Regions from separate parts of the Mus musculus genome. Here region 2 is reported to be linked to region 1. Evidence: microRNA targets listed by miRTarBase, many of them from high-throughput screens and not tested one by one. Region 1 holds a microRNA gene; the other region holds the end of a gene's coding sequence.
What was found. Region 1 holds the annotated microRNA mmu-miR-339-5p (UCCCUGUCCUCCAGGAGCUCACG, at 3,593-3,615, opposite strand). A microRNA usually pairs through its seed, bases 2 to 8, with sites in the 3' UTR of a target mRNA and lowers its output. Matches are read on the target gene's strand: a 7mer-m8 pairs with bases 2 to 8, a 7mer-A1 pairs with bases 2 to 7 and ends in A, and an 8mer does both.

Region 1 (5,072 bases):
GCACTGGGTTTGAACTCTTGGAGGATCCACCAAGCCTTTGCCTGCTTGCTCATGTCAGCAACTCTTTTAATCCAGCAGCGGTTCTCAACCTGTGGGTCACAAACCCCCAACCAATGGGACCGCCCCGCCACCCCCCGCCCGCTAGTCACATTACAGTTCTTGATAGTAGCAAAACTACAGTGAGGAAGTATTAATCAAATTAATTTTCTGGAGGTGGGGTCACCACAACATGTATCAAAGCACTGCAGCATCAGGAAGGCAGGCTGAAAACCACTGCTCTACAGTGACCGATCACAGTGTTCCCCCGAAATGCCTCCCGCCCCAAAACCTAACACTGCCTTTCCACTGGATCTCTGAGGGGGATCATGCTGGCCCTTGTGGAGACTGTAGAGGGAGGTCTCTATCTGTAGCCACTGAAGAAACCACATCCCAGTGCCATCACTCTGTCGTTTGGGATTTGACAGAGAGAGAAAGGACACATCAAAGTTAGGCAATGGGAGCTGGGGCTGGGGCTCAGTTGGTACAGTGTTTGCCTAGCATGCAGACACTGGCTTCTAGCCCCAGCATTGCATAACCCAGGCAACGTGGAACACTTGCCCATCCTAGTACCGCGTATTGGCGGTGGGATTCCAAACACACACCGCCACAGTCAGCTTTCAGGGGGCTCTCATGGGATCTGACCCCGGTCCTCCTGCTTGTCGGGCAAGCGCTGGACTGACAGCCGTCTCTCCACCTCCTGTTTCTTTTTTGTCGTTGTTGTTGTTACTTTTTAAAATATTTACTTATGTGCATAGATGTTCTGCCCACATATATGTACACGCATGTGTGTGCCTGGTACCCTCTGATGTCAGAAGTGGGTGTCAGGTCCCCTGAAACTGGAGTTATTGGAGAACGGGATGGTTTGGTCACATGGGTACTGGTGTTGAGACTGGATCCTCTGGAAGAGGGACAAGTGCTCTAAACTGAGACCCCCATCTTTCCAGCCCCCTGGTTTTCAAAGAGGAACTTGGTACGTGGCCCAGGCTGGCACTTCTCCTGTCTCTGTAGCCTCTGGAGTCCCGGGATTAGAGCTGCCCTCTTTTCCAGCTCTTTTTTAAAAGAGAGGTAGGGTGTGGCACACACATGCTGGGTGGAGATGGCTCGGTGGGTTAGAGCACTTGTTGCTCTTACAGAGGACCTGGGTTTGGTTCTCAGCACCCACATGGTAGCTCTCAATCATTTGTAATTGTAGCTCCAGAGGGCCCAAAGTCCTCTTCTGAACTCTGGGTACATATGTAATGCTCATTCAGGCATGCATATAAAACATGCACACTGGCCTGAGCGAATGCTGCACCCACGGAGGGTCCTTGTATGGATGGTGGGCTCAGCTCTTTGCTGTCCCTACCAAAGCCAAGGAAGGCTGACACTTTGGGGCCAGTGCAGCATCAGCAGTCTCCCAAATGGCACACCCTGAGGGTTCCTCCACCCACATCTCCATCACCACTCATGGTTTGCACTGATCCAGGGCTGGCGGAGCAGGCAGCCTCTGTCCCATGCTAACAGGCAAGGCTTGCTGGGTGACTCTGGAGATTGAGAAGAAAACTGGACCATCTCCCAACAGCCTTGGTAGCTAAATTCAAGACTGCCTGGTGTCCATGACAGGGCACAGCCTGTGTGTGTGTGTGTGTGTGTAGGTTAGCTGGTAAGCTGACCTGGAATTATAAAGCCCAGGCTAGCTAGCGTCCCCTTAGGGGCAATCTTGCCTCAGGCTCCCTGAGTTCTGGATGTTGAGAAGAGTCCTGGCCAGGCATTCTGAGCCACACTGGTAAGGGGAGTCTGGCCTGCTTGTGCCTGTTGCTGGTGAGGAGGCTTAACTCTACCATCTGTAAGCAGGGGCATCCTGGTGAGTGGGTGTTTTCTGCCAGCTCAAAGACTCCAGGCGGCACTTTCTCCCTTGCCCTCACCAGGCTGTGTGTAAACCCAGGACCAACCTTGAACCAGGGCAACTGCGTGGGCCTGCTTCTCTTGTTTGTTCCCCAGGTTTAATCAGGAAGCCCTGGTTGAACCTTACTGTTTTTGAAGCCTCAGGCGCTGAGGAGGCACACAAAGGTGGGTGCTGCAGCAAACCGCAGCTTCAAGCACCCCACCACTGCCCCTCCCTTGGGTCCCATGGGGGTAAAAGAGGCCTTCTGTGTAGGAGGAAGGGCAAGGGCCCACTGTCCTTCCCCAATGAAGTTCACAGGGCAGAGAGATGTTCTCCTTCTCCACACAGCTAGAAGGAGCTGCTGGCCCTGGCCAGGGCATCACCTGTGCTGGGGCAGTATGACTGGGGATATTCTCTTAATAGGGATTTGTGCTGTCCTGGGGAGGCAGTCAATGCCCAGCGTTTTTGAGCATCCACTGGGCTCAAAAACATCTTGTTCAAACGTTCTTGGAATTGTGGAGGAGGTTGGTGAATATGTCCTGAGGATTGAAAGTCCAAGGCTAGCTTGAGCTTAGCAAGTCTGTCTCAAACATAAACAAAAACCCCTCAAAGGTTAGTTGTAGACCTTGGCAGTAGAGGCCCTGGTAGCCAGTGCCAGACACACAGCTCTGTAGGACCTTCTTTCTTGGAATGACTGAGTCAGGTGTAAGGATGAACACAGGTGAGGGTAGAAGGACCCTCTGTTGTCCCCACCCCATCATGTGACCAGAGCAGCTGTACTGGGGGCGCAGCTGAGTGGCAGGGAATCCAGTCATTTGACCCGCTTCACACAGGACAGAGTCCCAAGGGCACAGCAGATGGTCGATGGAGCCCAGCACCTGGCCTGTCTATCACATACCCAGGTGGTGCCTCCAAGGCTGGGGCATGGTCTCTGGTCCCTACCACCCCTATACCTGTTCCCCAGACATTGGGAATGGCCTACAAGTGACAGCGATGTTTGTGGGGGGAGACCACGAAGCCTGCTGAGGCTGACGAGCTGGGTGCCAAGGCCAGTGGACTCTGTTCTCATTCCCCAGCCCAGAATCAGCCCTCCTCCATTCAGTTGGAGCCAGCCCGAGTCCAGGGTCCCACAGAGGTGTTCGACCTTGAGAGCCCATTCCGGTTCACAGACCTCAGCAGACTGCTGCCCGGCTATGCACTCACTCGGTAGCAAGATTTCCAGAAGACAAAGCAAAAGCACAACAACATAATGAAGAGAGGGGAGAGAGTTTGTTTTAAAGGAAGCTTTTTATTTGGAGGTAATTACTGAAACACAGTGGATGTAGAAGTGACCCAGGGACACCAACTGCCAGGACATAGGTCACACGCAGTAGAATCAACTGGTGCTACAGAGGACACACACAGAGGGAGAGACCTGGAAGGCTCCCTCCTGGCTCCTCTCCCCTCCCCCTCAGTGTCTGCGTAGGTTAAGATGATTAGGACCCCAGAGGGGTCAGTGCCTTGCGTCACCGCACAGAGAAACCAGAGTCCCCTCCATCCACGGAACAACCTGCAGATCTGCACAATCGAGTTCAAGAAGGTACAGCATGAACAGCCAGCGACTGAGCACCCTGGTCTGCAGGCAAGGGTCTGTGGACAGTGCAGGGGTGGACACCGGCTCTGTCGCCGAGGCGCTCACAGGCAGGCATACGTGAGCTCCTGGAGGACAGGGATAGTGGCCACCCCGTCCAGCTCTGCACAGCTGTGCTCTCACCACCTTGGTGCCAAGGCAAGGGTCACACCCACCTAGGGATCCCCTTCTAGATATGACTTTTCAAATGCACAAAATGTCACTTAAGCCCCATGCTTGAAAAAGACAAAGATGACAGATGCGGCACCCTGCCTCCTCAGTGACCTGAATGGCGGAAGTGAGCAGCAGATCTGATGTATCCCTGAGAAACAGGAGACTGGGCCATCACCAGCTGCCACAGGACACACGAATCCCCAGAGGTGATGTTGTCACCGCCACCAAGCCCAGGCTCTGTCCAGGCCACAGGTCCTTCTGCAGTCACGGCAGAAACACCCTGTGTCACTTACTTGGGGGTTAAACACAGGCTAAAGCCTAAGTCTTGACCTCAGGCTGCCCAGAGAATTAACTTTCTCACAGACTCCAGCACAGACCACAAGGCCTCTAGGCTGTGAGTCCCCGACTATACATCGGTTTTCTTGGCTCTCTGGCCTCAGCTCACCTGACTCAGGCTGACTGGCCCCACCAACAAGGTTATGAAGGTCCCATGGGTTTTCTAGGTCTAACCTCTCCCACTGCTATCTCACATGTCCCCAGTTCCAACACAGGAGCAGACAGACCCCAGGAGCTTGAACAGGGTGCAGATTTCCTTGACTAGGCTGAGGGGCTGGCTCCAGAAGATAAAACTTCCGTCCCTTTGCCTGCAGATCACAGGAACTGGTCCCAGCAGCTCTGGCACAAGTTTAAGTGGGAAGCCCAACTCGGCCATCAGTGAAGCTCCTGGTCCAAGAGCAAGGACAGAGTCAGCCCCTGCCACCTGAATCACGGGCGTGAGGGCGACACACACAACAAGCTCCCACCTAGGTCTACTCAGAAATGGCAGAAAGCAGCCAACAGGCAGGGAAGAGGGCCCTGCAGCGGGGGAGATGGGGAGGTCTCTAATCAGACCCCTGCAGTAGGAGACCCTGAAGTGAAGGAGAGGGAGGGGCTTGCATCTATAACTGAGCATTCCCAGGCCAGGAAAAGCCTGCTGACACAAGAACCTGTGTACTGTGCAGAGCCTGCGCTGCGTCCCTGAGCCGAGCGAGACTCAGTCTCATTTCAGCTGCAGTCTGCCTCCTTCGCCCTAGCTGGAGGCCTTCTTTCTAGCCAGGGCCAGGTACCCACATCCCCTTCTCTAGAGCTTCCCGGCATGCCCACCACCCAGGGATGCTTGTTCTAGCCTGGTTTCCACGTGCCCCACTCCCAATTCTATTTGAGTGTGCCGGTAATCAAAATGCTTTTGATTTTGGCTTCCTCTGGTAGAGCAGCTGTGTTCACACATCCCAAACTGCCTAGTGGACCCCCAAGTGACATTAAGGTCATGGAAGCTTTCTTGCTGTGGCCAAGGAAAGGCCATTTCTCCTGCTACAACGGGCCCAGCAACCACCCTGCAAGCAAGGT
Region 2 (5,071 bases), not on the chromosome of region 1:
TGCAGGTCTCCTCCAACCCGCTCCAGATCCACAGACCCCCTCCACATTCCTGAACAATCTCCGCCCCCAACCCCTGCTTTCCCGACAGCTGACCCAGTTAAGTAAAGAAAAAGAATTTTCTCTTTTTTCCCCTACACCCTCATCTCGTTGTATTTTTGTGGTTGTTGTTGTTTTGTGTCTACGTGGAGGGCGGGGAAGAAACATTATCAGCTCAGGAACAAGAAACGTTATCTAGTCAGGAACAGGGCAGCAGGAGAGGAACACTGCCTGTTTTTCTGAAAATGAGACAAAATGAAAGCCAGGAAGACGGGTTCTGGAATTTTCCGAGGAGTCTCCCCGGAGACCCTCCCCACCACCCGCCTTCCTAATTGAGCCTGGCGTTTCCCAACAAGAATGTGTGCTGATGGGCTTTGATGAGAAGCAGGTTTTTGTTCCCTCTTGCAATGATGTCTCTGCAGCACTTCTGGCCAGAGTTGTTTACCCCTAGTTTTCATGGAGATTTGTGACACCGGCCCATAACCGATTTAACTGGCTGCAGTGAGCCAGCTGGCCGTTGGGGAGACAGGGTTTTGCCATGGGTAAATTGTCCGCCCCCCTACTCCCCAACCCAAATTCATATGCTGAGACCCTAAGTCCCAGGATCTCAGATCCCCACTTAAAGGGAGGGTCTTTAAAGAGGTAATTATGGCCAGGCAATGTCACTGGGTGGGCCCTAACCCATGACTGGAATCTGCAAGCCCAGAGAGGGAGAGCCAAGCCTTCTGACACCTGGAGGTCAGGCTTCCAGCCTGGAGAACTGAGAGAAAGCAAGTTTCTCCCAAGCTGGGGCCTGTGAGGTGATGCAGCTCCAGGGAGTGTTTCCGGTCTTATGCAGAAGGGAAGAAAGTGTCCACTTGGTAGTTCCTACTGTTACCGCCAGTAAGTGTTCTCTAGCCACTCACCGCTTAGCCTGTGGATAACAGAAAAGGACATATCGAGAGGCAGAAGTGTGTGTGTGTGTGTGTGTGTGTGTGTGTGTGTGTGTGTGTGTGTTTGTGTGTGTGCGTGTATGGTGGTCGTGGGGCATTGTCAGTCACAGTTGCAGTTGTCCATTCACAGGTCCCTGTGCCTAGTTGAGTCCCTGTGGCCAAAGTGAACAGAACGTTTGTGAAGTGCTGGGGCAAGTCAAGGGCTCTCCTTGCAAATACTGAAGTAAGGCCCATAGTCATCCCTTGGTAGGTAGGAAACCAAGGGGCAGGGAGCCACTGGTTTGCTGTCCCACTGGCAGAAGTGAGCTGGCCTCTGATTTGATTGGTTTGCTTCTCCCCTGGTGAGCTGGCCTCTGATTTGATTGGCTTGCCTCCTCACTGCAGCTGGCGTCTGATTCGATCCAGGCTGTTTGCTAGAAGCCTTTGTACACGCCACAGATATGCACATGGAAGTCTCATTGGTTTGGGTTGGCTCACTGGCCAGTGAGCCCAAGAGAGTCACCTGTCTCTTTCTTTCCTGCACAGGGATTACCAGTGGGCACCTCCCAGCCTCTTTGTGTTTTGTTTTGTTTTTATTATGGAATCAGGGGTTTGAACTGAGGTCTCTACGCCTGCATGACACTTGACTAACTGAGCCATCTCCTTGTTCTCCCTTTTAAACATGGAGTTCCACGTGTCTCTGTGCCTTAGATGGGATGGGCATGTGTAGAATGCAGACATGATCATAACAGCCTGTACTGAACACGAACAGTAGTTGCCACCTGCCCTTGACATCCAGCTACCCTGCCCACTTCCTGCCCTAACGCCAGGGGTGACCGGAGAACAAGTTTCCCCAGACTCTTGACAGCGTGTTGGAGAAAGTCCTGCACGGTGGGTGGCTAGGCACGAAGTGTGGCTGGTGTGGGTTCAAGAAGAGTGATCACTTTTCGAGCTGCCTGTCTCCGGAACTTTCTGTCTCTAACGTGTGAATAGACAGAGTAAAGTCGGCAACCCCTTAGCCCGTCTAGGCTTAGTCCCATAAGGAATTTGCTGTTTTGAATAGTTTTAAAAATGATGGGCTGCAGGTCTTCTTATGTTCACCACACAGGTGAACCCCCCAAGAAAAGCTTCTCCGAGCTAGAGAGATGGCTCAGTTAAACACTCTCACTGCTCCTGCAGAGAACCTGGGTTAAGTTCCCAGCACCCACATGGCAGCTCCCAGCCATCTGTAACATCTGATACCTACTCTGACCTCCAATGGCCTATGGTGCACATACATATGTGTAGGCCAAATGCTCAAACACATAAACACATAAGTTCTGAATTTTTTTTAAATGTGTTTCACATGCAGGAGACAGAGGCAGGCAGATCTCTCTGTGAGCTCAAGGCCAGCCTAGTCCACAGAGCTAGTTCTAGGACAGTCAGGACTAAGAAACCCTATCTTGAGAAAAAAAGTGTGTGTGTGTGTGTGTGTGTGTGTGTGTGTGTGTGTGTGTGATAGTTCCAGGATAGCCAGGGCTACACAAAGCAGCCCTGCCTTGAGGTGGGAAAGAGGGAGAGGGTCACTGCTAGTTTTTCCTTGGGAACATGCTTCCTGCCTTGCCCTAAGGATGAGGCTCCTCTGACTGGCCACTTGGTCTTTCAGGAGATCAAACACCATCCTTGGGATAAGGCAGAGGGCTTGCATATGCCAGGTCATCTCCCCCATGGCTACCAGAGCTGAATTAGTTGTTCAAGTACACACAGCTAGAACAGCCAGTTGGGGTCTGACCATATCACCCTTCACCGGGAAGTGATGCCCATCCGCTGGGACGGTGGCAGCCAGATGCAGAACTGAGAGTGTTGTTCTGTCTTCTGAGAGCCCTATTACAGGACGTCCCCCCAATATAATGTGGCCTGGGGAAAGGAACTTTGTGTGTAAACAAACACAGCATAAAGGTCACCTTGATTTCCTGTTTTAAAATCTGCATTTTCAATGAACTGCACACACTGGGAACCCCCCCCCCCCACCCCCAAGGACGCCATTAAGGAAACCATTGCCTTCCATCATCTGGAGTTAATCTGATGGAGCAGTCCTCCAGTTGGACCATCGAGGGTGTCTCCTCTCTTCCGCTCCTGGTCCCCACGGGCCCTTGTGCACATGGTAATTATGTACTTGGGATGAGTTCCTACAAGAGAAATGACTGCAAACAGACACTCAAGACTTCTGCTCCACACTTCTGACTTGTTTTCAGGAGGATACCGCTAATGCTCATTTTTGAGGAATGGATGGAGATCCACTCCCAGCGGACCAGGCTTCCCTGGAAGGCTGGTGTACAAGCAGTCATCCTGTGAGAGGGGTCATGTGTGAGGGGTCTTGGGCTCACTGCTCCCTTGCCTGTCCCCCTGCTTAGCTGAGCACAGGATGGCCACGCTCTGCAGATGACCTCAAACCCCAGCCTTCTTGGTTTACTGGAAACCCTGAGAACTTGTTAGTATGCGCAGTTCCGGGAACGAGGCACTGGGTCAGCTTCATCTCCCAAGTCAGCTCCCTGGTTCTCTTGCAGCTTTTGGATTCTGTGACTTATGCATGTCTTGTTTTCCCATCCTTTGGATTTCCATGTCAAAGTCCGGGAAGGCAGGCTGGTCTCTGGTCTCCAGTTCAGGTCACAAATGAGCCCAGTCTTATTTTCTTTTGCATTTTTCCTCTGTCTCTTCTTCATTCTTCCCCACCCTTCCCCCTCATTTTCTTTTTTTTATAAACAGGCTTATAAATCCCAGGTTGACGTCAAACTCACAGCAATCCTTCTACCTCAACACCCCAAAGTGCTTTGATTCCAGGCACACGCTGCCATAGCTCAACCCTATTTTTCAGATTAATGCTGTCACTACTGTCCATGGCTTCCCAGGGACAGAAGGGACAGTGCTGAGTGGAGGAGGAGGTCACATCCCTGGCACCTCTTGGCCTTCACTTGTCCTATGCACTAGGGTTTCTCAGAGAAGACAGGGTGACCTTTAGGGAAGGGACACAGAGACAGCACCCTCTTCACGTGCTACTCAGCCGAAGCTTCTGGCTCACGGTAGGCATTCTCTCTCGCTAGTTGTTAATTCATGACTATTTCCAAGTACTAAGAGCAGGGGCTGTGCCAGTCAGTGGTGGTGCACACCTGAGAGACAGAGGCAGGAGGATCTCTGAGTCCAAGTCCAGTTTGGTTTACAGAGCAGGTTCCAGGACAGCCAGAGCTACATGGAGAAACCCTGTCTCAAAAAACCCAAGAAAGGCAAAAAGAAAGCAGGGACCATGCAGTAGAGGCCAAGGGCATCAGAATCATTTGGGAACCCCTCAACAAACTCAGGGGATCTTTGACTGGGTGTCATCTGGTTAGAGACCCTGCGATAAACTCCTCAGCAAAAGACAGATCTCCACGAGTGGCTTGATTTCCTGTATAGGTTATTTGTACCCAGACAGAACACTTCCCAGGTTTAAGAATACTCTTTTAATCACAAACTGTGCATCTACAAACACATCTGTGCAGTCTTCCTTGGAGTTCAGAATGCCCACAGTGGTGATGAAGTGTACCAGAGACCTGGTGCTTAGAACAATCTCAGAGGTAAGCAGAGGCAGGCCCCTGCTCCCCTGCTAGAAGCCTCTGGCTAGGGCATATTCAGCTTAATGCAGAGCCACTCTCAAGTCCTGTGCTAACTAGGCTAGAGCAGGATGCAAGGTGGGACCTGCTCCTGATGCTGTTGCTGGGCTAGGCCCATGGTTCCCCAATCCCTCATCACCTGGGATACCTACACGATGCCCTCTGTGCGCTTGCTCCTCCAGACCACCAGTGCAGTCATGAGCAGCGTGACCGTAATGGGGAGCGCAATGAAAGGGCAGAGGATGCTGTTGGGAGGGTCCCGCAGGGCCCTGCCCGAGATGGGGCACTTGCTGAAGTATCGATGGTGGACAGCGATGAAGAATCTGTCCACTTCCGGATTGGGCCAGAAACAGCCAATCGTGTGCGCCACGTGCTTGGTGCAGTAAGTGAGCTCCCCATAGCTCCTGTGGATACAAAGAGAGGTTGTCAGGAGACCCAGCTGGGACTCAGCTTTGTCTGGACAGAGGCAAAGCAGTCCTTTCCCTCCCCCACTCTAAA

Region 2: the mRNA of Ramp1 is a reported target of mmu-miR-339-5p. Seed matches in the 3' UTR shown: 7mer-m8 at 4,183-4,189.

Annotation. Positions count from the first base shown.
Region 1 is chr5:139,366,116-139,371,187 of GRCm38, forward strand. It overlaps Mir339 (microRNA 339), which reads right to left and starts at 3,630; the gene lies at 3,535-3,630. The region is part of intron 2 of 3110082I17Rik (RIKEN cDNA 3110082I17 gene); the gene reads right to left.
Region 2 is chr1:91,223,012-91,228,082 of GRCm38, reverse strand. It overlaps Ramp1 (receptor (calcitonin) activity modifying protein 1), which reads right to left. Exons shown (of 3, transcript NM_016894.3): 3 at 2,887-4,977. The coding sequence ends at 4,722. Among named protein-coding and RNA genes, the nearest start is that of Ube2f, 25 kb to the left of the region's middle.